Nothobranchius furzeri: one gene and its partners. The protein of the gene in region 1 interacts with the protein of each later gene in a biochemical or structural test. Links are inferred from orthologs where the notes say so. Each region holds a gene or a part of one and is shown in the gene's direction. Other genes may lie near its edges. The genes, in order: proto-oncogene tyrosine-protein kinase Src, asap1b, eno1a, ptpn6, tamalin, ptpn11a and stat3.

What was found.
Region 2: the proteins of proto-oncogene tyrosine-protein kinase Src (region 1) and asap1b form a complex in vitro, tested with the Homo sapiens proteins (2 studies listed by BioGRID and IntAct). The link is inferred for Nothobranchius furzeri from reciprocal best matches to the Homo sapiens genes SRC and ASAP1.
Region 3: of the proteins of proto-oncogene tyrosine-protein kinase Src (region 1) and eno1a, one has a biochemical effect on the other in vitro, tested with the Homo sapiens proteins (4 studies listed by BioGRID). The link is inferred for Nothobranchius furzeri from reciprocal best matches to the Homo sapiens genes SRC and ENO1.
Region 4: of the proteins of proto-oncogene tyrosine-protein kinase Src (region 1) and ptpn6, one has a biochemical effect on the other in vitro, tested with the Homo sapiens proteins (2 studies listed by BioGRID). The link is inferred for Nothobranchius furzeri from reciprocal best matches to the Homo sapiens genes SRC and PTPN6.
Region 5: of the proteins of proto-oncogene tyrosine-protein kinase Src (region 1) and tamalin, one has a biochemical effect on the other in vitro, tested with the Homo sapiens proteins (2 studies listed by BioGRID and IntAct, with this or other methods). The link is inferred for Nothobranchius furzeri from reciprocal best matches to the Homo sapiens genes SRC and TAMALIN.
Region 6: of the proteins of proto-oncogene tyrosine-protein kinase Src (region 1) and ptpn11a, one has a biochemical effect on the other in vitro, tested with the Homo sapiens proteins (2 studies listed by BioGRID and IntAct). The link is inferred for Nothobranchius furzeri from reciprocal best matches to the Homo sapiens genes SRC and PTPN11.
Region 7: the proteins of proto-oncogene tyrosine-protein kinase Src (region 1) and stat3 form a complex in vitro, tested with the Homo sapiens proteins (3 studies listed by BioGRID). The link is inferred for Nothobranchius furzeri from reciprocal best matches to the Homo sapiens genes SRC and STAT3.

The regions. Positions count from the first base shown.
Region 1 is NC_091743.1:58,638,415-58,643,045, forward strand, and holds the start of proto-oncogene tyrosine-protein kinase Src, read left to right. Parts: upstream 1-1,692; 5' UTR 1,693-1,905; intron 1,906-4,631. Other genes in the region: protein MANBAL, read left to right, coding at 318-428. UniProt on the Homo sapiens protein: Non-receptor protein tyrosine kinase which is activated following engagement of many different classes of cellular receptors including immune response receptors, integrins and other adhesion receptors, receptor protein tyrosine kinases, G protein-coupled receptors as well as cytokine receptors.
Region 2 is NC_091747.1:45,635,138-45,639,084, forward strand, and holds part of asap1b (arf-GAP with SH3 domain, ANK repeat and PH domain-containing protein 1), read left to right. Parts: coding exon 1-45; intron 46-429; coding exon 430-537; intron 538-3,947. UniProt on the Homo sapiens protein: Possesses phosphatidylinositol 4,5-bisphosphate-dependent GTPase-activating protein activity for ARF1 (ADP ribosylation factor 1) and ARF5 and a lesser activity towards ARF6.
Region 3 is NC_091755.1:28,673,524-28,676,154, forward strand, and holds the end of eno1a (enolase 1a, (alpha)), read left to right. Parts: coding exon 1-198; intron 199-301; coding exon 302-499; intron 500-625; coding exon 626-827; intron 828-913; coding exon 914-1,022; intron 1,023-1,151; coding exon 1,152-1,210; intron 1,211-1,292; coding exon 1,293-1,356; 3' UTR 1,357-1,787; downstream 1,788-2,631. UniProt on the Homo sapiens protein: Glycolytic enzyme the catalyzes the conversion of 2-phosphoglycerate to phosphoenolpyruvate. In addition to glycolysis, involved in various processes such as growth control, hypoxia tolerance and allergic responses.
Region 4 is NC_091745.1:73,963,557-73,967,503, reverse strand, and holds part of ptpn6 (tyrosine-protein phosphatase non-receptor type 6), read left to right. Parts: intron 1-1,196; coding exon 1,197-1,293; intron 1,294-1,383; coding exon 1,384-1,463; intron 1,464-1,546; coding exon 1,547-1,693; intron 1,694-1,842; coding exon 1,843-1,974; intron 1,975-3,596; coding exon 3,597-3,748; intron 3,749-3,947. UniProt on the Homo sapiens protein: Tyrosine phosphatase enzyme that plays important roles in controlling immune signaling pathways and fundamental physiological processes such as hematopoiesis.
Region 5 is NC_091755.1:37,123,083-37,127,503, reverse strand, and holds the start of tamalin (general receptor for phosphoinositides 1-associated scaffold protein), read left to right. Parts: upstream 1-1,289; 5' UTR 1,290-1,409; coding exon 1,410-1,604; intron 1,605-3,122; coding exon 3,123-3,175; intron 3,176-4,421. UniProt on the Homo sapiens protein: Plays a role in intracellular trafficking and contributes to the macromolecular organization of group 1 metabotropic glutamate receptors (mGluRs) at synapses.
Region 6 is NC_091746.1:40,330,366-40,334,312, reverse strand, and holds part of ptpn11a (tyrosine-protein phosphatase non-receptor type 11), read left to right. Parts: intron 1-740; coding exon 741-860; intron 861-960; coding exon 961-1,074; intron 1,075-1,296; coding exon 1,297-1,393; intron 1,394-1,489; coding exon 1,490-1,569; intron 1,570-1,680; coding exon 1,681-1,836; intron 1,837-2,362; coding exon 2,363-2,494; intron 2,495-3,129; coding exon 3,130-3,284; intron 3,285-3,360; coding exon 3,361-3,428; intron 3,429-3,830; coding exon 3,831-3,947. UniProt on the Homo sapiens protein: Acts downstream of various receptor and cytoplasmic protein tyrosine kinases to participate in the signal transduction from the cell surface to the nucleus. Positively regulates MAPK signal transduction pathway. Dephosphorylates GAB1, ARHGAP35 and EGFR.
Region 7 is NC_091745.1:6,831,361-6,835,307, reverse strand, and holds part of stat3 (signal transducer and activator of transcription 3), read left to right. Parts: intron 1-144; coding exon 145-388; intron 389-475; coding exon 476-568; intron 569-690; coding exon 691-772; intron 773-874; coding exon 875-975; intron 976-1,160; coding exon 1,161-1,312; intron 1,313-2,754; coding exon 2,755-2,913; intron 2,914-3,057; coding exon 3,058-3,150; intron 3,151-3,283; coding exon 3,284-3,343; intron 3,344-3,424; coding exon 3,425-3,454; intron 3,455-3,577; coding exon 3,578-3,671; intron 3,672-3,761; coding exon 3,762-3,809; intron 3,810-3,947. UniProt on the Homo sapiens protein: Signal transducer and transcription activator that mediates cellular responses to interleukins, KITLG/SCF, LEP and other growth factors. Once activated, recruits coactivators, such as NCOA1 or MED1, to the promoter region of the target gene.

The DNA.
Region 1 (4,631 bases):
CTTATTACTGCTTTTATCTTGGATTAAAATATACCAAAAACATTTATAGGATTATAAACATGGAAACATTCCTCCATAACTGAATTGAAAGTTATCAGCGTCTCTGATTATTTTCTGCATTGTGTCGCTGTTTCTTTTACTCGTTTATTCTGCTGGCAAAAGGAAACATGTTGGTTTCTTTTGTTTGGTGTACACATGGGAATTTCCTTCTTCTGTTTGTTTGGTAAAGCTGCATTTAAGCTTGGAAAAAAGGAACATATATTCATTCCATGCGTTTAGCCGTTTAGTTTTTAATGTTTCTGGTGTTCGGCCCACAGGAGGAGACAGAGTCCACTGATGGGAAAACGACAGAACCAGTGAAGAAACCCAAAGGACCAGCACCTCAGATTCGACAGAAACCAAAGAAAGAGAGCAAAAAGAAACGATAGAGCTTTGTGCATCTGAGTTTGTTTGTTTTTGTCATCTGATACATTTTAGTTATTATTACAACACTACATGGAACACATTTCTCAATGATCCTACTTTCATATTCACACAGACTGCAAAAAAACACGATGTTCATTGACAGTGAAGAGTTTTCGTTTCCCTTCATTTTATTAATAAATATTGAAGATATTGTTGGAAATGCATGTGGATTACAACTGACCAATAAAGTCATTCACCTCAGCTGTCTTTATGATTGTTTTACTCATGTCTGTGAGTCAGTTAAGTGTGACTGGTGTTCAGCTACAGACACAAATATCATAGGGAGATTTGGAGTTTTGCAATGTATTTAAATATAAAGAATAGGTAACTTGTCCATATTTGATCTCGATGCTTTTGATTTATTATGTAAATTTGGGTTTATTTGTGTCATTGTAACTTTCTTTCTCTTGAAATCGCATATCTAGAGAGAATTTTTTCATAGCTAAAAATTTCATTAAGCCAAACGTCATTTTATAAAAAATACTTTTATTTCTATTACAAAAACATTAAAAGGGAACTTATTAAAATAGATGATTGCGACAGTAATTTGAAAAATAAATTGATAAACTATGCACTGATTGTTCACAAGTGCAAACCTTTACATTTACTCAGTTACCAGATTATTTTAAATTACAACGTTGTGGAACAATAAAACTCAAAACTGGGGCAAATGTTTTCCAAACGTCAACAACCCCGGAGGGTTTGACTTTAATGCGACAGTCACGTTCTGCTGTAATGGAAGTGTTGCTAAGCAACCACTTTACGTTGCCTGTACTTTAAGCAAATCATCTCAATTAAGTCATTGCCGGGGATTTGTTATGTAACAAAGTTGTGTATGTATTGAACAGATCTAAAGGGGTTAAACGCGGCAGCGGTGTTCAGAATCTGTTCGTGTCATGCCCAAAGTGATTCCCTTCACAGAGCCGAGTTGCGCAGTTGTTGTCGTAAATTCTCCCGACGCTCTTTGAACGTAAATCTAGTCTTTTCGTGTTCGCCCCTGGTTCGCCCTCATGTTTCGTAAGCGATGCGCTCTCTCCGGCGGCTTCCTCCCCCATACGAGGCTGGTCTTCCCCGGATAACACCGCTCCAGCTCGTTCGCATGATTTTTACTGCGCCGTCGCCTCCTTTCCAGCTGGACCGTCTGCCGGTGCTTCGCCCGGACCACCGCCGCCGTAGCTCACCGCCACCACCGCGGCAGCTGCGCTCCCTCCTTGAGGAGAATCAGTCCTCGTCATGACCTCTCTCCCTTCCTCCGGTGATTCTTCTGATATTCGCTAAATGGGATTTGCGGCTGGACTGAGGTTTCCACAGCAACTGCCCGTCGGCTTCCATATTCTTCTGATGAGAACAGCCATACGAATCTGACCGGGCTCCTCGCTGCGCTTCTCTGATTTTTTTATTTTATTTTTTTGGGGGGCTGAATCACAAGACGCGTCAAAGGTAGGTTTAGTTTATTACAGCATGTAGCGGCTTTTTCTCTCCTGGCGAGGAGATTGTTTACAGTTTTGGGGCCAACCGCGAGCTAACAATTAGGTGTTAGTCTGTTTTCACACATGTATATATGCTGTGGTCCCCTACACACACATACACACACACACACACGCTCATTGTTACACAGGCCATTCAGAGACCACGGCCAGTGCAATGATTCAGTCTGAGCCGGGGCTTGCCCCTTAGGACTTACTACAGACCATAAAAAACAAAAGGTTTGTAAAAATCGCCATCGTGGCTTCGTCACGACGCCAGATGCTCAGAGAAAATCCGATGAGACGAGTTTGCTCTGAAAAAGAAGCCAACAATCCATCGAAATCCAAAATGGAGCTGTAACAGCACCTGTTTTGATTCATCAGGCCACATGCACTGGAGCTACCGCTGTCTGTCACTGAGCCCTCTTAAAAATAAGTCAATCCACGTTCCCATTCACAAATCCAGAAACCACCTGAAACGGATCGCCCTGCTAACTCTGGCTGGTTTTTAATTAGGTTATGTCTTTATTTTTATTTTCTCCCCAAGCAAAGATTCCGTTTTGACAGTTGCTACTCCCGTAGGCAGCAGCCACCCCACCCCGCGTTTCATTGAAAGCAGCTTTGCTGACAACTGGTGTTTAATCCCGTGGAAATAGAATTTTAATTATGTGGCTAATAGTTTATTAGCAGATAGTTTTTTTTTGGGGGGGGGGGGGGGGGGGGGCTGTTCCAGCTAATTTCTGGGAGGAAAGAGATCCAGGTTTCTTATTAAGGAGGAACTTTAATCCTAAAGCCCTAGTATCTGAGCTACTGGTGGACTTGCTGATCCACCAAACATAAAGGAAGCTGCAACATCTAACTGGGCTGTAAAAGCAAAATTAAATATTTTTATCCCATAAATGGGGGCAAATGGGTGATAAACATGATGTTCTGTTTTTGGGTCATTCAAAATATTTGGCTCAATTGGCTGCAGCTATGTTATTGTCTCCATTATTTATTCATGCGTTCATCTGTTTTAGTCAGCAGACATTAAATGTACAGACAGCTTCCTAAAATCAAGGGTTGGCTAATCTGGAACTAAAGCCTTCAGTGAACTCCCACCTTTCCTGATCTTGTTTGGTGTTGATACTAGGAACATTTCAGGAATGTTTTCCTGCCTGTTTTCAGGTAATTCCGACTGCTTGTCATGTCTCACTAGTTGAAAAGGTGTTCCCTGAACACCGACTCATGAGTTATGTCGCAGAACTTTTTTGCATGGAGGCTTCCAGGTGAATATCGACTTCAAGAAGACCAAAAGGTTATTTTACTTTCCTAATGCCTTCAGTGTAAAAGTGAGTGGAGACTTTAGACATGTTTTGATCAGAGGGAGTATTATAAATAAAATGCTCTCATTTGAATAAATGTAAGTCAGAAATGGGGCGTACACGTAGAACAGGGTGAGTTTTAAGAATTTGTAAATGACGTGACATCTCTGACATGAAATGGCCATCATGTCCTGTAAAATTAATCACGCTGAAGCAGCCGCTCCCCACGGCCAGGATCACTGGTTCCCAGAGCCTTCAGTCAGAGATGGACGGAAGTGTTTTTTCTTTATCAGCTAAGTGCCTCAGTCTGTCCGTCTTCCTCCTCCTCCTTTTTTCCCCTTGTCTCTCCTGAGTGTGTTTGCCAGAGGACAGATGAGATGGGAGAGCTTGTTTACCCTTTCCACACATGTTGGATTGTTCATGTAAAGGCTTAGAAGACAAGAAGATGTGGTTCTGATGTTCATTGGACCTAATCAAGTCCATTTCTCTTCCTCTGACTATGTAAAGTAGGACAAGACGGCAATGCCAATGTGAATGCTTCCTCTTGTTTTGATCATGGGGAACCATCGCTGACCCCTCCCCACCTCCTCTTCCTCGCCTTCTCTCCCGAGGGCAAACTGTAATTTCCCCATTGAACTGAAACATTAGCCAGAGCTCCTTCAGTCTCTGCAGCACAGCAACAACTGGTACCGTCTGTTGTGACTCAGTCAGGTTTGTCATAGCCAAATGTGCAGCAATAGTGTGCTCATCATCACAAGAAAAATCAGGGTTGATAAGACCTGGGACAGGGGGATGGATTAGCAAAAAAAGTGTTCTGTTTCCTACGTAAAATCTTAGCACAAGGTAAGACTGACTTCAGAGCCACAAATGTTTTTGTTTTGGGTTGTCATTTTATCAGCTTAAGTCACAATCGGTGTGATCAGACATGCCACGTTCACGTGCTGAATGTTCGGAACTATTTCTTAAAGAGCAAGTCAACTCGTACAAGAAACTTACTTCACTCCCTCTTCATGTTTGAAAAATGCAACAAATTCTGTTGCCTGGCAGACCGAGAGGGCGGAGCTGCTAACAAATACACACAAAGACAGGCTCACGACAGCATTGTGACATCATAATGTACCAGTTTACATCATAGCATACCTCTTAACCAATAGCGGTGGCAGATTTAAATTAAAATACAGTGCAGAGTTTTTACCTGACAACGGCACAACACTGCCAGTTTTAGGCAGAATATTTGAATTTTAACTAAGATGCACTGAAATGCCAAATTATTGACGACACGTGTCTGCAGCACGATTAGACACTCGTTTATTTAGTTTATAAGCAAAAAAATTTTGATTTGGGGGGGTCTCACTCCAGACTCTCACTCCACTCCCACTTACTGAAAAATGCAACA
Region 2 (3,947 bases), on another chromosome or scaffold:
CTGGATGTTGCCAGGCGACTGAGGAACAGTCAGTGTGAGGAGGCAGTAAGTTACAGGAGGCCGAGTGGCCGGATCTGACCAGAATGAGCCCTCCTGATTTAAAAACACGGACTAAATTACAGAAAGTGGAGGCTTCAAACGCTTTTGAAGCTGCAGCTGTTTGATGGGACGAGTGTGGATGAGTCTGAACACTAGATGGCAGCGGAGCTGCTGTCTCCATCCAGAAGGGACAGGAGCAGCCAAGTGGAAGGAATTGTTCATGTGTGTTTGTTATTAACGCAGATCTGAACAAGCAGAACCAACGGGGACAAAAATAAATCTAGTTTAGAGGGATTGAGCTTTGAAATCCTATCATAGTTTGCTTTTGCCATCTTGTTGTAGTTTCCCATAACAAGAGCAGCTTATAGATAGTTTTGTTGTCTCTTTCAGCTTGTCCAGGCTGCAGAGGGGAAGTTCAACCCTCACATCCATGTGGAGTATGAGTGGAGCCTCCGCCTGGAGGAGATGGACGAGAGTGATGACGACCTGGATGATAAGGTGCCTAAGCTGCTGAAATTTGCCCCCGGATTTAGAAAAACTTGTGAATTTTAAACAAAAAAAGGCAGCATTTAAGAAGATCCAGTAAAAAGTCACCCTGATGACCTTTTCTTCTGCCGTTCTGCTGGTGGATTATTGGATTTCAGTGAGAGCTAATCTCTGTAGCTTCACTTGCTGGAGGAGAGCTAGTATTCATTGTCTCTAATGTTCATCAAGTTAACAGCTGTTCTAGCCAAGACTGGCTGTGCATGCAAGAAAAACAAAGCATTATTTTTACTCTCTTTATAAAGTTGATGTACAACTGAATATGAGCTGTTTTCGCTTTAAAGGTGCAGTATGTAAAAATATTGTGAGAATTTTACAGCAAGAAAATCCCAAAGGTGCTTTTATAAGACACACCATGCCGGTAAATGGGCGTAATATTACCGCAATGGTATGTCTGCGTGGCTGCGTGAATTTTGCGGCATTCGTTCCGCCTCGCTTGGTAGTAATATTGCGGTAATGGTCTGTCGTATGCGCCCCGGCGCAACAGAGGCAGATGTCATGATGACGTGGGGAGTTATTGCTGAGCTCCGGCTGGCAAATCTATTGAAAATGAAAGTAAACACAGGCAATAAGGTTTGCTTTTTGTGCAAAATCAGCTGAGATGGCAAACTGGAGCGCCGCAGCGCTCCATGAGCCTTTTTGTTAGAGCTGAAGCTCAGATCACCAGAGACTGCACAGGGACTGATGGGGACAGACACCTTTAGGAGCTGCTTGTTAAATAAAGGTAACGATCACGGCTTCAATCGCAATAAAAAGCAAGTTATGTCCAAGATAAACGGAAGCCTGCGGCAGCGCAGAGCCCAGCCCCATACCCCCTTTATGCCGCCATCACCTAATCTTTTATAAAATTGCCACGATTGCGCCACATTACCGCCATGGTCTGATCTTATAAACAGCCTTTATCCTCCCTAGAGAGCCGCGGCAAATCCTGTATTGAAAATGCTATGGTCCTGTAAAAACAGCTCAAAACAGTCAAATGTTTCAGTCATGAAGCATGTTTCATATCCAGTTGGCTGCGGGGATTGTCAGTTTTTCCTCCTTTCCAAACAAAGGAAGGAGGGACGTCAGGGTTTCCCCCAGCGCCGCCAGGCTTTGCTTGGCCACCCGCTAGGCTAAGAGTCATGCCCCGCCCCCCTCCCCGACCCTACCGTGTCCGCTGACACGAACGGCGCAACGAAACTAGAGCCCCCCCATCACCTGATACTGTTGAGAAACAGCAGCAGAACGTGTGCAATCACCCCCGCTGTCACAGAGGAGCGCTGCGAGATGGAGCGCGCGATCCCCCCCTTCCCCGACGGCCGAATCCGCCAGGGTTAACTAATTTTCTGGGGGAAACCCTGGACGTAACTATTGTTTACCATCAGTGAGTGTGGGGTTGCCGTGTCCCCTGCAAGCTAATGCTGCAGCGCTGACAATTGTAATTTGACAATGGCCGGCAAACAGCTCCAGAGTTGTTTAAATTGGTGGCAGTTACTAAATTTTACCACAGGACGTAATTTTTACTTCATTTCGACACAATGCACCTTTAATGCAGAAATTTTAGGGCAAACAGATTTCTTAAAAAAAAAAAAAACTTTTTTTCTCCAGTATCCAGAGATTTGCTGCTCGTTATTTTTGTCAATAAAGATTTAAGTTGCTTCTTTGCCAAAAATGTGTAGAAAAAGTAAATTTTTCTACCTTGATTTTCAGAAATGTGCAGAAACCACATTGGGGGGCTGTTAGCTTGAGTCAGGTTTAGCTTTAAACGTCAAGAAGCTGTACACACGGGCATTTAAAACTGATGTTGTATTATTGAGTTAATATTTTGCAGTAACTTCATTGACTTGTTGAAAACGTTTTGAACTGGGAAGTGGCTTAAACTTTAGCGAAAGTCAAAAGCAGAGGCATGTGGCTCCAATGACACTCTTAGGCTTTTTCATGTCTAAATTTGAGAAGAAAACAAGATATTGATTTAAAAATGGAAGAAACAAGCATCAAAATGTTTCTTTGTGCTGAAGAAGAGCCTCCCTTCAGGTTTGTTTGTTTGTTCTTATTAAGATCCCCATTAGCCACTGTTAAAACAGTTGCTATTCTTCCTGGGGTCATATTATCATCATCAAATAAACATAAGGAATGCATCAACACTGGGCTCACAAGCAAACTATCCATTTTCATCTACAATATTCATATCCACTATAATGTAAAGGATGGGTAGTTTACATCTTACTTATGAACCATAAAATGTGAGATTCCATAGAAATATGAAATATCAATCTGATGGATCTTTGAATATTTTAACCAAAAGATCAGAACTTTTTATTGCAGGGATTAAACGACACTTCGTATTAACTCCAAGGAAAGAGAGAGAGTCAGGTTTAAAATAGTTAAGAAATTTATTTCTACACAATTTAATCAAGGCTAACTTTAACACTCTGTGTACTGATGGACTAAGGTGGGGTGAGACGTGATGAATGATGATGGTGTGTGTGTGTAATGTTATTCAGAACCAGCGGATCCGGAGAAGCAGTTAGTTCTGAGTAGGAGTGAATGTTTCGCTCTAAACTTTAGTAGGAGATTTATAACACACATGAAACGCCATCTGTCGGTCTACATACCCAGGGGAAGCCTCCGATCAGATCCAGAATGCCGAGGTCCTTGTGGACCCTCTTTGGTACCGAAGCCAGTAGAAAAGCAGCGGTGCTGACCAAACCAGTCTTGGAATGCTTCCAGGTCACGACAGGTTATCACTGGCGTCTCCGAGACCCTGAAGGGGTCGTGAGGTTCAGCTTTTATTCTGAAGGAACCGTTGCGGTCAGGTGTAACTTCCAACAGATTTTATCAAGCTTGTCTGAGGTTCTTTATGGCTGAAGAGGAAGTCCGCATGGCCTGTCCGAGACTCCTCTAGAACACTTTGAACTAAAGAAAAGGCGGCGTTGAATAGTCTTTATAATTGTCATATTTTGGTTTACTGGCGAATCAGAATTTGACATGCAAAAAGAGGGTTTATACAAACACCACAGAAAACCACACCTCATGCCAGAAACAAAGGTTCTGATTGGATCAGACAAAAGGAAATGTGTCGTGTGACTTTAGCATTATGTGTCCTTAGTGTCTAGTGCAAATGTCCAGGATTATTATTACTTGTAAAATACTACTGATCACAGGATTATAATATCAAGTAATAACATTGTCATTTCACAGATTGATTGAACATTGGGCTCACATTATTATTGGTAATTAACAAAGTTGTTGATTATGTGTTTATCAAAAGAGTGTTCTTCGTCTTGAGCTGTAACAGAGGTGAAGCAGTTCGAGAGGGTGCTCGCTGCAGAACTACAAAGGCGGAGCTGCACCATAAGGTGGAGCTGCACCAGAGTCAGCCCCGC
Region 3 (2,631 bases), on another chromosome or scaffold:
CCCATGCAGGCAACAAGCTGGCCATGCAGGAGTTTATGATCCTGCCAGTTGGAGCCAGCAGCTTTAAGGAAGCCATGCGGATCGGAGCTGAGGTTTACCACAACCTGAAGAATGTCATCAAGGAGAAATATGGCAAAGATGCCACCAATGTGGGAGATGAGGGTGGCTTTGCCCCAAACATCCTGGAGAACAAAGAAGGTGTGAGAAACAGTACTGTTGCAGGGCAACACAGCCGTGTTCACTGGATTCATTTAATTGGGAACATTTTATTCGAGTTTCCTCTGTAATTTGGTTTTGACAGCCCTGGAGCTGCTGAAGAATGCCATCGCCAAGGCCGGCTACACTGATAAGATCGTCATTGGCATGGATGTGGCTGCTTCTGAGTTTTACAAGGGTGGCAAGTATGACCTGGACTTCAAGTCCCCTGATGACCCTAGCCGCTACATCACCCCTGACCAGCTGGCTGATCTCTACAAGGGCTTTGTCAAGGACTATCCAGGTTGGTTTTTGAAAATTACAACTTTCTTCAGACAAACAAAAGCGCAAAGTGAACTAGATCAGTCTTATTGTCCAATACATCCGTCTAACATTTTTTTATTCTGCTTTTTCATCTTTCTGTTCTTAGTGGTTTCCATTGAAGATCCCTTTGACCAGGATGACTGGGCAGCATGGACCAAATTCACAGGCAGCACCAGCATCCAGGTGGTGGGCGATGACCTCACCGTCACCAACCCCAAACGCATCTCGAAGGCAGTCGATGAGAAATCCTGCAACTGCTTGCTGCTGAAGGTCAACCAGATCGGCTCGGTCACAGAGTCTCTGCAGGCGTGAGTGCCCACAACATGGCTGACCGCCACCACAACACTGCCACGATTCAAGGCGGTAAACATAACGGGGCTCCTCTTTATTTCAGCTGCAAGATGGCGCAGAGCAACGGCTGGGGTGTTATGGTCAGCCACCGCTCTGGAGAGACGGAGGACACCTTCATCGCTGACCTTGTGGTTGGCCTCTGCACTGGACAGGTGGGATTTTTTTTATTTATCTTTTTTAACAATGGCTTTTTCATAATTTTTGAAGTTGTAACTATAAATGGCTCTCTATACGATTGCAGATTTGGATCTAAAATGTTTATTTTTTCTCCACCCACGTAGATTAAGACGGGTGCTCCTTGCCGGTCTGAGCGTTTGGCCAAGTACAACCAGCTCCTCAGGTGAGTCTGCCCCCAAAACACACACCGCTCATAGCACTTGATCCCATAAATGGCATGAAACCAAAACCTGACCTTCTTGCAGGATTGAGGAGGAGCTTGGTGACAAGGCCCGTTTTGCCGGACAGAACTTCAGGCACCCCATCTGAGCGGGCCTTCTTCCTCGGGCCACTGCGTGTTCATTGCTCATAATCTCCACACATGTACGCCACGTTAGGTCTCCTGCCGTATATGGAGAGGAGAAGAAGAAACCTCTGTAGTCCAAGGTCCAATCTGTGGCATTGAAGCGACACTACATCCTGGTGCAGCCACGGCTCAGCTCATCCTGAAACCATGCTTTAGCTCCCGTTATAGTGTTGGTCTCTGTGTTTGTGTCCGTGTTGCTTTGTGTGAGATTTCTTTAAGCTTCTTGTGAGTTGTAGTGATCTTGGTCCTGATTATTTGAGCAACTGTAACTTTAGTAAGGTTCTGCCTTATAAGCGGTGGTAAGAGTACTGTATGTGCAATGTTGCATCCGATGAGGTCTTGTGTTGTAACTGTTGGCAGAAATATATAATAAAATAATATAGTTTCAAAGGTTTTCCTTGTGGTTTTTATTTGCATAAAAAATCCTACATGTGACTTCAGCACTAAACCCATTTAAGGCACTGAAGTAATAGAGTTTGACAAACTGTAGAAAACCTCACCCTGGGTTAGGTTCTGCTTCTGTGAAATGTAATCTGGGATGGAAACACGAGCTGAGTGCTGTGACATGAAATTTCCATTAATCCCCTGGGTGAAAGAATCGCGCCTCGTTTTACACAAAGCCTTTAGAGGATAAATGATGGTCTATCCATCAGTGTTATGGTACCTCAGCTGTTTGCCAGCTGGGTTTGTGCCACACAATTTACTTTGAGCCCTTTCTTAACCTACATCCATTGTTTAATCATCACCTAGGAGATGTTCTACAAATTGCTGGCGTAGAAACGATCCCAATCACGCAGAGGCTTCTACAGATGACTGAGCTGCTGCAGGTTTGTTGTATGAAAAATAAACTCAAACACTGAAACTATAAAACAACCCAGCTGGATTTTAAACCAGTGCTGCATCATGGGTTAAACACTACTCAGTAGGACAGCCAGAGTAAAATTTGAGATTTGCGCCATCTTGTGGTCATATTAAGCGCATCTTCACATTTAAAACACGTTTTGTACACCTGACCTAAGTTGCTGAATGAGTACAAAAGTAGATTCACAAACTCTAATCAAAGTGCATGCCAATTGAATTTCAACTTTCAATGTAATATTTTAAAGGCCTTTCAAAAAACAAAGATTGCTACCACCTTGTGTAGAGTGGCTGTTTAATGCGCATGCGTCATATTGCTGTAAAAGCGTATTAAAATTTAGATAATCTACTCTTTTCTGTGGCTAAAAAAGTAATTTTGA
Region 4 (3,947 bases), on another chromosome or scaffold:
ATTGTGCAGCCCCCCCCCCCCTCTCTATACATATATATATATATATATATATATATATATATATATATATATATATATATATATATATATATATATAATTAAGTTATCTTTGAGTATTTCAACATCAACAGTTTTTGTGAACAAAGATTCAGCAAAAAATATAAAAAAGATTAAAAAATTTGCTTGGCTAGAAATCTTAAAACTAGCGAAATAGTCTCATTTTAAGTTTATTTGCTAATTTTAAGATTTCTAGCCAAGCAAATTTAGCTTACCCCATTGGCAGATTTGTTTTTAGTAAACAAAAAGGACATTTTGATGATATTTAAGAATATTTACCTTATTTTAAGTAGTTTTATTTTTCTCGAGAAGAATTTATTTTCGTTTAGATAAAATGTTTAAAAAAATTGAATTTTTTTCTTTTTTAGAACTCATTTTTTGCAGTGTAGCTGTAAAATCTACTTAACCTTCACAATCCTCATGCATTATGTTATATAGCTATAGAGCACAGCTTTAAATTAAACATTCTCCTGTAAACTAGAACAACAGGTTCCTTGATCGTTTTTTTTTTTGCCTTTTATTTTAATTCTAGTTTTTTCTCCTGATCTTTCGTTCTTCCTTACACAGGATCAGCTTTCCATTTAGACCTCCAAACCTTGACCGATGAATCAATAATGCTAAAGAAAATGAATAAAACATCCTGAGCTCAACACATAACAAGCAGCTGAACAAAGAAACTGGTTTTGAAATACGGATCTCCAGGATGTTTGTTACCAGCAGCTGGACACAGACACCAAATCTTTTTATTTGTTAACATCAGTTCTTCTAAACCTTTATCATTTAGGACTTTTTTCCCAAAGCTCACACATCAAGTTGCCTCAGTTTTTTCTGACACACTGCACAGATATTTTGACTGAACTGGACAGAAAACGGGTGAAAAATCTGCCAAAATATAAAAAGGATTAGTGAAAAATCAAAGTGAAAATGTTTGGTCATCCTTTTATGAGACCTACAAAGGTTTAAATAGAGGACCAGAACAAAAACAAACAAGGTCATTTAGAGAATAGCTAGGAGGAATTAGGAGTTTTTCTTGTTCCTGCATATAGGAAATTGCAAAAATACATTTATTTTGATGAGTTTGTCTCAATAAAATCGTATGTAATTCCCAGTATCTGACACAAATATCTCTTCTCTTGCAGGCTCTTCAAAAATTGGAGACGAAGGTGAAAAAGAGCAGAGAGGAAGGTCAAAGACCAGAGAATAAGAGCAAAAACAGATACAAGAACATTCTTCCCTGTGAGTTTTAACCTTCTGGTTCTCGCTCTGTAAACAAAAACCCGGTTCTGTGACCAATCCTGTCTCCCTCTTCTTGTCTTCTCTCACAAGTCAACGACACCAGAGTCATCCTGAAGAACGCTTCTCCTGATGTCGTCGGCTCCGATTACATCAATGCTAACTACGTGAAAGTAAGTGGTGGAACGCTCTGGACGAGCAGCGCCGCCGTCTGAAAACCGTCTGGGCCTTTAGCGTGTTTGTGTGTTGGTTGCAGAACAAGCTGTGGGAATCTGTTGGACAGAAAAAGTACATCGCCACTCAGGGATGCCTCGCAACAACCGTCAACGATTTCTGGCAGATGGTGTGGCAGGAGAACACAACTGTGATTGTCATGACAACGAGAGAGGTGGAGAAAGGACGGGTCAGTATCCAAAATGACAGGAACAGACACTTAAAAAAATCCAAACATTCCTACTGAATAAAGATGAACTTTATTGGCTGAGATGCAATAATCTACATTTGCTGATGATATTAGAGATTATCTGAGTGTCTTTTTTTGCTTTTCTGCAGAATAAATGCGTACCATACTGGCCGGAAAGTCAGACTTCCAAGAACGTGGGAGATTACGTGGTGACCTGTGAGTCGGAGCGGGAAGCTTCTGATTACAAAGTTCGACATCTGAAGATCGCTCCCGTGGCTAAGGTCACTTTCAAACCTCTGACATCATCAACTCTGTGCACTTTAGTCGTCCCTCCTTCTTTTAGATTTTCTTCGTTGTGATCCTTAAAGCAACACTAAATACATTTCCTGCCTCTGCTGGTTGAAAGCAGAAATACAACTGTTATAAACAACCTTGTAGCAGCCTGTCGTAGCTAGCACTAACAAGCTAGTGCTAGCCAACTGATACTGAATAAACCACAAAGTAAAAAGTTCCACACTGTTGGAGAAAGGATATTATTACTTACACGTCCAGTAGCAACAAAGCCAGGTCACCATCAGGCCGTGATTTTGCAGCCTCGTTTAGCTCCCTCAAACTAGCGTAGGGCGTGCCGATGTTCACTCAGGTTTTAGCTCTTTGCTTCTGCTCCAAAGACATTACTCTCTTACTCGAATTCTCTGCCATGATGCCAACAAAAAAAGCAAAAGTCGTCTTCTTCTTGACAGTAAGTGAACCAAAAAAAGCTAACTAGCCTTTTTAGCTAACTGCTAGTAGCACAATAAACAACTAACCCCCAAATTCCACTACCTCCGCTCCGCTCCGCTCCGGTCCGCCCCCGCCTTCCGCAGCCGCTCGCTTCCGAACTCAATTTTTACTGGTATCCGCTCTACAACGGCTCCGCTCCGGTGCGGAGACCTGAGGGGGGCAAACAAGCATGCGCGGGATTTTCGAGATCTTGCGATACAGTCCGAGCAATAAACGCGGAAGTTAGATCCAAACACCCGTTGTGCGGGAGAAGCATCGAAATGAGCTGTTTAATCTGCCCATCATTGTGTTGAGAGATCAGCAGTGTTTGGATCAACAAAGTGTGACTACTTTGATAGTGGCAACTGTATTTATGGCTTATTTTTGTGCATTTAAACTTCAGCCGCCATTGATAGTTGTTAAAAGTTGTTAAACCTGTGCATATGAAACAAAAAACGCCTTTTGTTTATCGATTTATTGTGAAAAACGGAAGATGTGCTTGCTCCTTTTCCTGTTGGGCCGTTGTGATTTCTGTCCATTTACTGCGGAGGTGCTCCGGCGTCCGGCAAAAATAGGATCGATTCTATTTTTGCCGGACGCCGGAACAGAGGGCGCCGCACGGCGCCGCACTGCCGGAGCACGGCCGCAGTAGTGGAATTGCTCTGATTGACTAGAACGGGACCGATTTTGCTCCGGCGTTCGTGTCGGAGCGGAGCGCAGCGGAGCGGAGGTAGTGGAATTTGGGGGTAACAGCTATAGAACAGGGTAGAGATCTCCCACCAGTGTTCCTACCCAAACCATAGAACTGTTTGGTCCAGTTTCTGGTCAGCAGGGGGAAACGGAGTGCTGTCCAATGTGAAGTCGGTCAAATTTATGGCTCAAAAACCACTGAAACCAGTTTGAAAGCAATAGCTTAAAGTATCTTCAGCCTTTGTGGTGGTTTTTCAGATCACTTTAGTCCAGAACTATAACATTTTGGAGGAAACATTTGCATTTATGTAATAGATTAGAATAAGAACATCCTTTATAGTCCCCTGATGGGGAAATTTAGGTGTAACAGCATCAAAGTACATTCACAAGAAGATTAAAAGGCTGTAAAGTAAAAAATATATATCTGAAACCATTTTTTTCTCACTCCCAGCCCAATTTTTCCCGTCCAGTATGGCACTACCAGTACCTCAGCTGGCCCGATCACGGCGTCCCTCAGGAACCAGGCGGAGTCCTCAGCTTCCTCACCCAAGTCAACGCTAAGCAGGACGAATTTAACACTGGTCCTATGATCATCCACTGCAGGTACCGAGTGCCTCGGGTCACTGCTGAGTCACTGTATTACAGAATAAATATCACCATAGATGTGCCTTTTTAATTTCCTAATACTGTTTTTTTTTGTACATAATTCTTTGAGGGTTTAAGAAACAAAAAATTAAGATTATTAGGTGAACAACGGGTTTTTATTCCACTGATTGTAGGATTTAGTTCTTGTGATTGAAGG
Region 5 (4,421 bases), on another chromosome or scaffold:
TGTGTTTGAGAGCTGAGAGATACTCTCCTAAGACCACAAAGTCATTACATGTTATCTAAGATTTGACATATTGGCTCAGAATATTTATTCTAATTTATGCAGTCTTAATTTAATGCTTTTCAGTCATATCATTTCAATATATATTTAAGGTGTAAATGTAACATTTCTGAAATAACTCCATGTAAAGATTTTAATAAATTGTCTGGACTGAAGTTTTTGTTTTAATTGTTAAAAGCTCATTTTGTAGTTAATGTTAGATTTAGCTTCAAATAGGGTGTGATTACACTTGAATCTGGAGTCACAGATCTGGTCCACTACCAAAATGTTGTCTTCCCTCTGCTTCTCTTTGCCTTTGCCAATGAGGGGATTGATCTTTGCAAGGTAGTATCCCCGTGTTCTCCAAAGTAAATGAAAAGTAAGGTTTTGTGCAGGTTAGAAATCCATCCCTCACCTGCTATCTGAATAATCATGACACATGTGGACACTGTTCCGGCAAATGTTACTCAAAACTTTTCAAAACTTGTAAAAACAAACAAACCAGAGCACTCTAGAAAAAAAAACAACAATCTGGAGTTGCTACGATCACGTGTTGAAAGACCGGACCAATACTGCTCCAACGGGAAAATGCCATAAAATCAATGCAATGTTACAGCATCTCTGGAATACAGAGTCTGAGACAGCAAACGCACAGATTAGTCTGTAAAAGAAACCAAGCAGTCAAGGACAATCAGCTAAAGTGGTATGATTATCTGTGTAAACGGACTACTATGTAACAATTATTTAAATCGACTAATTATTGTCAGGATCATATTCAACAATCCAAAAAGAAAAAAAAATATTTATAGTATGATTAAATACACAAGAATACTTACACTGCAACTTTTCTCAGATCCTTGCTGGTATTTAACAATTGCATCATTTTGGTCTGTTAAATGTCAGGAAATAATTAAAATGTGCTTTAAATATTTGTGTGATTAGTCCATTTCCATAGGAATTAAAATATACGTTACTGTAATTTAAATGCCCGATCTGTGAATGCTGAGTTACACGAAAAATGATCAAATAAAAGCTAACACTCGTAGTTGTTTTTCACTTTTATTTTGGTGTTGGTCAAATATATGAAGAATAATTCTTTAAGATATTCCACTTTGAACGAGTATAATTTAGAAGTACATTTACTTTATTACACGTTATTTAGGACTGTCGTTAGTGAACGTGAAGCAGAAACGCCCGAGGGGCCCTGAATGTGCCGTGGAGCGTAGCGTCTCGTGCCACTTAGAGTAAGCTCCGCCCCCTGCTACTGATGAGAGGCGACACTCAAACGGAGGAGGAGGTAGAAGTAGGTGATTCATCAGCTCCTTACCAGGTCCTCTGCTGGAGCTCAGCGAACCCTTTCATTCCCAACAACGATGACTTTCAGGCGGCTGAAGAAGGCGAACTCCAGCGGTCCGGAAGGCGGACCCGCTTCTCAGGACGACATTTATTTCCCTTCGTCCAAGTCCGACAGCTGCAGGAGCGTGGAGCTACCTGCGAGCTTCTCGGAGGTTTACAACTACAAAACTCTGGCTTACTCCGGCGGGACGCTGCCCAGAAACCTCAAAAAGGTCAGACAAGATCCCCTCGGCAGCAGCCTGACTATTGCAGCTACAAGTTTGGCGTTTAACTGTTTTTAAGGTGACTTGACAACTAGTTGGGTCCTAGTTGGAATTGGGTGACAAGCAAATGATAAAAAAACCATGTTTAACATATATTTTATGGATACATAAATAAATAATTGCCTCTGTGAGGTGCTTGAAAATAATGAAGACTCACTTTGAACGCGCTTGAGTTTGATCTAGAATTCTGCTTACAAGACAGAATGATGCAAGTTGTTGCATCCTTTCTGTTTATAAACGGCGAGTTGTTTATTTTTATTCTGCTGAGAGAAAATCTTAGAATCACACACACACACACACACACACACACACACACACACACACACACACACACACACACACACACACACACCACACACACACACACACACACACGTGTGGTGATTGTTCTTGGATGGAATTGACTGAGCTAAAGCTGATGATCTGGCTTTCTGGAGAACACTTTGGTGTTTTTGGAGATGATTAGTAAACTTGATGAAGACTTAAAATGAAAGTAGTCAAATTCAAAGGACTCCTGAGTTCACTCGCTGTCCTGAAGGCAGCTTTGTGATTCATTTGAGGAAGTGACTGCTCACCTCAGCTGTCCCTTTGTACATTTTCTGGGTTGTTTCTCATTAACCCTGAAAACTTAACTCTAGTTTTGAGAGCGGAGCAGAGCAGATCTCTGGAGGCTTCCCTTTCCTCAGAGCTGGGATGCACAGTGGGACACAGTGACAAGCCCACACACAACCAGCGTGCTGTAATAAGGGCGAGGTGGCTACAACACAGCATTGTGCACTCCCACCAATGCAGATCCTGTCGAGACACCCCCGTTGGACTCTGGGTACTTGGGAATAAATGCCCCCATTGAGACGGCAGTCCTGTAAGTGTTGGGACATTAAGAAAGCAACATTTTAGTGGGCTGGGAGATGAGAACACAAAGCAGGCTTTCAGAGAACCACATTTGAACATGATTGAGTTGGAACAGAGGTGGATTGATTTGGGTGGTTTCCCACAGGCATCTGGACTGATACCTTTTCTTTTGTTTATACAGTCAGGTGGGGCAGGGACCCAACCTGCCGCTGATTCCTCTCAATGCTGGTGTTGTAGTTCACCACGCTGTCTCACGTGTTTCTTTACCGAACAGTTAGGTAGATGGACAAGCGCTTCGGGGACATCTGACTTGGTGTGAAAGTTGGGCTAAATTTAGCTGAATGCCTTCTTTGAAGGTAAACAACAGGAGCCAGACATTCATTTCTAGTTTCGTCGGTGTGGTTCGAACCCGACGGAATGGATCAGTGGTTTTAAAATACAAACAAACCGCCTGGCACGCGTCTGCCATTACAAAACCTGCTGGACCAGTGCACCACAGGTGTGTCCAGGAAGTGCTGGGAGCTGATCTTAGGGGGAACCCTCATGACTCATCTTGCTCTAACCTCTTGTAGGTGTCTGACACGCTTCACGTCTGGTTTTGTTTTCTCCTCACAGGGAGGTGGCCCACAGAAGTGGAAACCCCTCACACAATCAGCAGAACCACAAAGGTACAGTCTCCCACATTGTTTTGGTCTTTGGCCCAGCTCATTGTTTTTCCTTTACGCAAACCTCACGGCGACTTCCCCTTAAGTCAGAGCCAAGCTTGTGGTTACAGATGATGCCATGAATTTGCATGTCCCCCTACCACTGAGACGTCCTTCAGTCTTACAGATTATTGTTCTGTGTGTCTATCTCTGATGTCCAGATGCTGATGGGCACAGTCCCATGCAGCTATTAAAATCCTCAATTTTTTACTTTAGATCAGGGCCATTGTGTGAATTTCCACTTGTTCAATTCAAAGATACTTTATTAATCCCAGAGGGAAATTAGAGTTTCAGTACACACACAATTCTGAGATCAGACATACATACATAGACACATGACAAGAATTGGTGACTGTGGTCTTTCGCAACCCGAGTCGCGCTACCTTAATAGAGATCAGAGGGTTTACATGAGGATTGGTTCAGGTGGAGGAAAAAAAAGGCACTTCAGAGTTACCCTCCACAGAGAGGGCAGCTTTGCTATGCAAAAAAACACCTCAGACAGAAATGCAACAGACTTCAGACATCACACAACATAAGTGTCCACTAGGTGGGGAGGTAGGGTTGGGACTCTTCTCACATCAGTGCATGCAGCCGCGATGAGCAGCGCCCGTCACCTCCGTCTGGACAGGGGAGGGAGGTAATTGGGTTAGAAAGCCCAGTGACTCCTGGAAACGGTTCCACGACCTTCACCAACTAGTTGTCAGTCCCGCCCAGGCTGGGATAGGGAGATGGAGTTGCCATGGCAACGGCAGCATTCCACATGTCTTCTGAGGGGGAGTAATTACTTCAGCCTCACAGGCTCAAGGGCACCAGATTCAGATAAGAACATGTTTTGGGGACAGACAGAGATAATTTCCTCTCTGTCTTAGGCCGGGGACACACCGGCCGCCGAAGCGCCGGGAGGCGAAGCGCTCACGAAATTCGGCCGCTGCTCGCTGCTCCTCAGACGAGACGCTTGTTTCTCCGCTCCGGTCGAGGCACGCCTCGCAGTTTTTCTTTTAACCACTTGGTGTCCTCCATTTCCTCTCTGCTTTTTCTCTGCTCTTTTCCTCTACACCCCCCTCCCCCTTGCTGTTTGTATGTGTGTTTGTACGTGTGTGTGTGTGTACGTGTGTGTGAACTTATGGTGTGAATCAGTTGTTAATAGCTGGCCTACAACTTTCTGCCTCTGTCCTGTTTGCTCTGGTCGAAAGACACCCAAAACCACACC
Region 6 (3,947 bases), on another chromosome or scaffold:
GAAAAAGTAACACACATTTAAGAACATTTTGCTCAGCTCACTGTTTTATTTTCAAGTGTCAAAAGTTCATTAAAGATAGGACTGGTGGATTAATCACAGCCTTTACAGTAAATAATCTAGTATAAACAGTAATATACACATTTAAGTACATTTTGCTCAGTGTATTTTTTATGTGTCAAACGTTTATTGAAATGAATGATTGATTTATCAGTGTTTACAAGAAACAATGTGCTCAGAAAAGTAATACAAACTGTCAAGCACATTATGCTCTGTTTGGTTTTGTTAATGACTTTGTTCTGTACTGGAGCCTACTATTACTGTTATCTATTGAATCAAAGCATATTAAAATGTGCTTGAACAATTTTATCATTTCTTAATGTTTGTACTGGAAGAGAGAATGGGAGGGGGTCGTCAAAAATTTTACTGGTAAAAAACGGGGTCCCTTGGGAAAAAGGTTGGGAACCACTGCTTAAATAATAATTTAAATCCGTCCCTGAAGAAAACTTTTATTGTGGTTAAATGAAACATTTAACCAATATCACAGTGCTGTTTGCTGATAGTTTAAAACCAAGGTGAAGTTTCTCATTTATTAGACGTTTATATAAAATGTTCTCGGATCCGACTGAACTGTGACGGCGTTTCTTCCCACATATCATTAACAAGGTGGACCCAAAGCATCCTTCTCTTCACATTTGTACCCAACACGGTTGTCTGATGGTGGCTTGTTTCTTCGTCCCCAGCATGACCTGAAGTACGACGTGGGTGGAGGGGAGAAGTTTGATTCCCTCACAGACTTGGTGGAGCACTACAAGAAGAACCCCATGGTGGAAACCCTCGGCACCGTGCTTCAGCTCAAACAGGTCCGCCTCGTTTTAGTTTCACCCGTCCTCAACCACGTGTAGCCATGATCTTATACTGAAGCACCTGATCTGTGAACGTTTGTTCTGCCTTCGTCCGCAGCCCCTAAACACTACTCGTATAAATGCAGCAGAGATTGAAAGTCGAGTTCGAGAGCTGAGTAAACTAGCGGAGGCCACTGACAAGGTCAAACAAGGTTTCTGGGAGGAGTTTGAGGTGAGACTGAAGCTTTTAGACAGACTGAGTGTAGAAACCAGGAAATTAACCCTGAAGTGATTAAATGTTACTGATTGATAAATAAAGAGATAAGACAAGTGATATAGATTTGTTTTCTTTTAAAACATTAAAATATGTTGGTTAGTGATGTTTTTTCATTAAATGCTGTAAGTTATTGTGGAAACTGTCTTGTAAATGTTGTCTTTCTTTTTCCTCATTTAGACTTTACAGCAACAGGAGTGCAAACTGCTCTACAGCCGCAAAGAGGGTCAGAGACCAGAGAACAAAAACAAGAACCGATACAAGAACATCCTTCCTTGTGAGGAACCTCTACGCCTCCAAGTGTGATGATTTAGGTACCAGCTGTTGGGACGTTTGAACCAACCAGCTCTTCTGTTTTTGTTTGTGTTTGCAGTCGACCACTCGCGTGTGGTGCTGAACGACGGGGACCCTAACGAACTAGGCTCCGACTACATCAACGCCAATATCATCATAGTAATACCTGCTGCCTTCATCAGGACAGACACAGCTGTTCTGTGTTGTCCGTTAGTTTGTACTTCAGATATTTGTGTTTGTTGTTTTTGCTAAATGTGCGTGTGTTTGCAGCCGGATGTGAGCCTAAACAACACCAACAAAGTAAAGAAGAGCTACATAGCTACTCAGGGCTGCTTGCAGAACACCATCAGTGACTTCTGGCGGATGGTTTTTCAGGAAGAGTCTCGAGTCATCGTCATGACCACCAAAGAGGTGGAAAGAGGAAAGGTAATCTACACGAGTTGGGTACAACAGCAGTGACTAAAAGTTTAGAGAATAAAACAAATATCAGTCAGAATGTTTGCTGCCTCAATTTTATGATCGTTTACATCAAGTTTAGAGGAGACGTCAGATGAAGGACAGTTGATCACAAAAGTCCTCGTTTGAAACTAAGCTCATTTTCATACCAGACTTATTTTCACAGCATTTGTAAATAAGCATCTGACAGGTATGGGTTTTCCATCTCTACCTCCTCAGTGCAGTTTCACATCTGTTTCCATTAGTAACGGGTACCAGGCTGAGTTTTGTGAAACTCCCAGAAAGTAATCATTACATGTACATCAACGACTGAATAGGTTTCTAGATGACCACAGCTAATCAACATCACAAACATATTATACCTCTATTAGTCAGCTAAAAGTTGATCACAAAATCTCTGATTGCTTGATATTACATCAGGGTGTTTTATTAGTAATAGTAAAATCAGACGTTTTTCAACAAAAGCTGAACTAAATGAACATAAATGTTTCAACAGAGTAAGTGTGTGAAGTACTGGCCAGACATGTCTGCTCTGAAGGAGTATGGCGCCATGCGTGTTCGCAATGTCAGGGAGACGACCGCCCACGACTACACCCTACGAGAACTGAAGCTGTCCAAAGTTGGGCAGGTAAGCTGTTGGTGGTTTGTAGGAATAGTTTTATTGACCATTATGACTTTAGTATTAGTTAATGGTTAACTGAAAAAACATTTTTAATGATTATTTCTGATTATAATCGGTCACTCTTGAGTTTTAATGCAGGTTGAACATGAAAATAGTTTCTTACACCAATCTCCTGCATTAGCTTCTGATAGAAAGTAGACGGTGAATTGGACTTACCCATATTGACTCACGGTGGGGAAGGCTGTTGTTGTTTTATTGTCCAGAATCAGCAGAAAATGTCTCAGTAAACCGAAGATAAGCGCTAGCGTTAGCAACTCACTCACACAGCTGAAGCTCCTCCAGGCTTGTTATTTGTGGAGGTAAAACATCCATGTCCCCGAGCAAACAGAGTTAGTGGTAGAGTCGCGTTGCTGTTGTCCAGTCTGAGGCAAGATGTCCAATTATCTGCTGAGATAGGGGTTTGTGGGCTTTTTGTGGCCTGAGTTCTGCCTGCAAGGCATTCATTCCTACTGGAGACTACTGCAAATGTATTGGTTAAACGAGTGATCCACAACTTTAAATTGTTTTCTTCTTGGGGGTCTGAAAATTATTTTCATTTTACTGAAGTTCTTAGTGACGCACCATCTAAACATTGTTGTCAGGCTAACACAGAACGCACAGTGTGGCAGTACCACTTCAAAACCTGGCCAGACCACGGTGTTCCTGCTGACCCAGGTGGTGTACTGGACTTCCTGGAGGAAGTCAACCTCAAACAGGAGAGCGTTGCTGATGCTGGGCCAATAACGGTACACTGCAGGTAGGAATCTAAAAGACACGGGGGCGGCGGCGCTGGAGGGAAAACCTTTACTCCGTTTCTGTTTGGTCTTTTCCAGTGCAGGGATCGGGCGGACAGGAACATTTATTGTGATAGACATCCTGATAGATGTGATCAGAGAAAAGGGTGAGTTGGCTTTTCATCAGCACAAGGTATACATTAGCTATAACACAAAAACATACTTTATTAATGAGCCCTTCAGCTGAACAGCAGGGTACAAACTAAAACATCCCTGTTATTGTTATTAAAATATTCTCTCATCTTTGTCTCTGTAACATGCTGTGACTTTAATAAAATTCACCACATGAACGATATATAAAAAATAACCTAAAGGAATGAATGTCTGTACATGTCCTTGTATCCACGGTTCCCAGAGGTTTTAAACTTTTAGTCTGTAGTTGACAAAGATAAAGTAAAAAGCATTAAAATGAAGTTTGTGCAACAATCAGAAATTCAATTCAATTCAAATTCAAAGATACTTTATTAATCCCAGAGAGAAATTAGAGAGCAATTTTTCTGTTGCTGCAGGGGTGGACTGTGATATTGATGTACCAAAGAGCATCCAGATGGTTCGTTCTCTGCGCTCTGGGATGGTGCAGACGGAGGCCCAGTACAGGTTCATCTACATGGCTGTGCAGCACTACA
Region 7 (3,947 bases), on another chromosome or scaffold:
TCATAGCAGTAGTTTGCAAAACAGGTCACGTGTTCTGACATTTAGTTTGTATGTTAAAAAGCTTTCGGTAAGTTGTAAACAAAGTGCTCTTGTTGTTGGGAGGAGTACGTGTAAGTCATTATAACATTGGTGATTTTCTTTAAGGGCTTACGCTGCTAACAAGGAGTCACATGCCACATTGGTGTTCCACAACCTCTTGGGGGAAATAGACCAGCAGTATAGCCGCTTCCTGCAGGAGAACAATGTCCTCTATCAGCACAACCTGCGCAGGATCAAACAGCACCTGCAGAGCAAATATCTGGAGAAGCCGATGGACATTGCCCGGATTGTTGCTCGTTGTTTGTGGGAGGAGCAAAGGCTGCTGCAGACAGCCACCACTGTTTCACAGGTACATAAAATATAACCAATCTAACAATAGATCTTTGTTTTTGACACAAAGCTTTTGAATGTAAATGTTTTGTTGATTGTGTTATAGAACGGCCAGGCGGCCCATCCCACTGGAACAATAGTGACAGAGAAGCAGCAAGTTTTGGAGCACAACCTTCAAGACATCAGGAAGCGGGTGCAGGTCAGTTAAATAAAGGACTTAATCTGATAACGCTTCTCTAAAACGGCTTAACGCTACCGAACCACATCGTAATGGTTTTGTTCAGACAGAAGTATAAGAACATTATCGTCTGTTCTTAACAGGACATGGAACAGAAGATGAAGATGCTTGAAAACTTGCAAGATGATTTTGACTTTAATTACAAAACCCTGAAAAGCCAAGGCGGTATGTTTTAATGATCACTTTTCCAGACTTATTGGGGATGTGTATTGATACAGATGCAGGTAAGCCTTTAGCTGATCCACGGTATGTTCATCCTGTCTCCAGAGCTGTCCCAAGACCTAAACGGAAATAGCCAGGCAGCTGCCACTCGACAGAAGATGGTTCAGCTGGAGCAGATGCTGACAGCCTTAGACCAGCTCAGGAGGGTGGGTGTCTGATAAACATGGTTAGAAGCCAGATGGAAAGACATTTGCAAACTTGAAACAAAGCGAACACACCTCTATTTGTTGGTTTAATAGGCCAAAGGGCAGTTTTCTAATGCTTCAGCGTTAGTTGTGGCTGGACTGCTGTTGGTGATTTCTGTTTTGTTTACTTTGTGTTGTGTTAATAGCAAATCGTGACAGATGTGGGAGGCCTGCTGACTGCCATGGATTATGTACAGAAGAATCTAACTGATGAGGAACTTGCAGAATGGAAACGAAGGCAGCAAATCGCCTGCATTGGAGGCCCACCAAACATCTGCCTCGATCGTCTCGAAACATGGTAACTAGGGGTGGGGGAGGAGGCGGTCTAGTTTTTACTCTACATGAAACACAAATGGTTCTGAATTAGTTAAATAATTTTCAAAATCCAAGACCATGGTCTCGAGTCAGAAAAGGGTAGAATGCCTTCTCCAGATCAGGGACGAGGTCTTGCCCCAAGTGTAGGAGTTTAAGTATCTCGGGGTCTTGTTCACCAGTGAGGGAAAGATGGAAAGTGAGATCGACAGGCAGATTGGTGCTGCTTCTGCAGCGATGCGGGCGTTGTACCGGCCTGTCGTGGTGAAGAGAGAGCTGAGCTGGCAGGCAAAGCTACACTTTGCAGACGTTACGCGATGCTTTGGCTAAATGTAGAACATAGCTGTAACTATGCATGTATTACGTGAAGTAACAAGTGATTGAGGCTCCTTCCTTGACTTGAGGTTCATTTCTGCCGGTGAATAATTTCACTTCCTCTGGTACAGATGTTTCTATTCCATCCCTATTAGTCTATCTGTAGTTTATTTTTTAGCATTTGTTATTTTCTTATTTTATCAGATCCAAGTCAGATCTTGGATTTTTTTTAAATAATTTTCTGAAACCTGGCAATTTTTCACAATAAAACAAAGTCTAGAAAGATTTTTGTATGAAATCTGATTTACGTTTAGCGAAGGATTATTATTATTTTTTAACAAAAGATTTTCTTGTTTTAATAAGAAGTTATTAGAAATAAATTCCTTTTGGGTCATTCAAATATAAAGATGTATTGATAATATTTGTGTTATCCATCACAACTGTCTCAGTCATAATTGAATTGAATCATGAGGATCCTAAAGATTCCCACCGCTGGATTTGAAAACGGGAAAGACAAATTTCAGTCGCCAGATTTCATCACTGAAGTTTTATTGAAACGACAAAAACCTTAAAAACTTCACAAAATCACATAAACAGGAAGTCAGAAATGTTCCCGTCTACATATAAACTTGTGTGGCCTTTGCTGGTCCGTAAAAGAATTTATTGGGGAGACAATGTAAGACAAGCAGCCATGCAGCTGACAGCTATGATCACATTAGTTTCTGTAAGTAACTCAGTATTCATGTATTTTACTGTGGAGGGAAGCTTGAGTATCCAGGGAAAACCGTCCATGCCAAGGTAGAACAAGATCTCTGCATCAAGGTCCACACCCGACAGACACGTCTGCTTCTCTGGGCTTCGGCGCTAACGCCACCCTCCTGAAAGAAGACTTGATGAACATGAAGAACATAAAACCGTTACATCTCTGAGTCGGTGTGAATGAATAGGGTCATTAGAGGAAGTGGAAAATGCAGGTAAAATTATAACCTTCAGATTGTCAAGAATCCAGTTGTCTTTGAACTTTTGGTGATCGTTCTTCATCTCTATTGACCTCAGTAAAAAGAGCTATTCTGTAATCATTTTACAACACCCTTAATTTAATGTTCTGATCAGGATCACATCCTTAGCCGAGTCCCAGCTCCAGATTCGTCAACAGATCAAGAAGCTGGAGGAGCTTCAGCAGAAGGTGTCCTACAAAGGAGACCCCATCATTCAGCACCGGCCCGCCCTGGAGGAGAAGATTGTGGATCTGTTCAGGAACCTCATGAAGAGGTACTAGAGACTGTCGATGGGCTTTCCTACACAGAGGATGAGTCAAAGTTCAGCTTCCACCTACATACCAGATGTCTTCAGACAACTGCTGTTTGCTCCATTGTTTCTCTGTAGCTGTTAAAATCCAATCCTTGTTTATTGTAGTGCCTTTGTGGTTGAAAGGCAGCCGTGTATGCCCATGCACCCAGACAGACCCCTGGTCATTAAAACAGGGGTGCAGTTCACAACTAAGGTCAGGTAAGAGCCAGGTCCAAATCAGAGAAACGTGCATATTTCTACACGTGTCTAAGTTTTTGATAAAGCACGTGGTTAAAAATTGCAACATTTTGTCACTTTATTTTCCTCATTTGTTCTTGTGTTTATTCTCAAGGCTACTGGTGAAGTTTCCTGAACTCAATTACCAGCTCAAAATTAAAGTCTGCATTGACAAGTAAGCAGTTTTTTAGTTTGGTTTTAAATCTGCTTTGGGATAAAAATGACTGCTTCACATACTTTTCTGTTCACTTTTCAGAGAATCTGGTGACGTGGCTGCAATTAGAGGGTAAGAGTACAAGCGGGCTTTCTGAACGAGAGTGATGCTAGAGAAGGGTCTTACTTCCTGCTAGAGAAGGGTCTTACTTCCTGCTAGAGAAGGGTCTTACTTCCTGCTGCGTCTGTTTACCAGATCACGAAAGTTTAACATCCTTGGTACCAACACAAAAGTCATGAACATGGAGGAATCCAACAATGGCAGCCTTTCTGCTGAGTTCAAACACTTGGTGAGCTACAGGAACAATGTGTTACTGAGTAAAGTGACGAAGCGATTGATAAAGGCATTCTCTGAAGCACCGACTTCCTGTTTGTTTCAGACCTTGCGGGAACAGAGATGTGGTAACGGTGGCCGGACTAATAGCGATGTAAGTCTTATCTTACATTTACGTGGAAAGTATGATGTGACGCGTTCTTAAGAAAGCCTCTTGACCGTATAGATTTGATTTTGAGTGATAAATGATATTCTGGAACTATATATTTAGACATTTGAATGGATCTGTTTC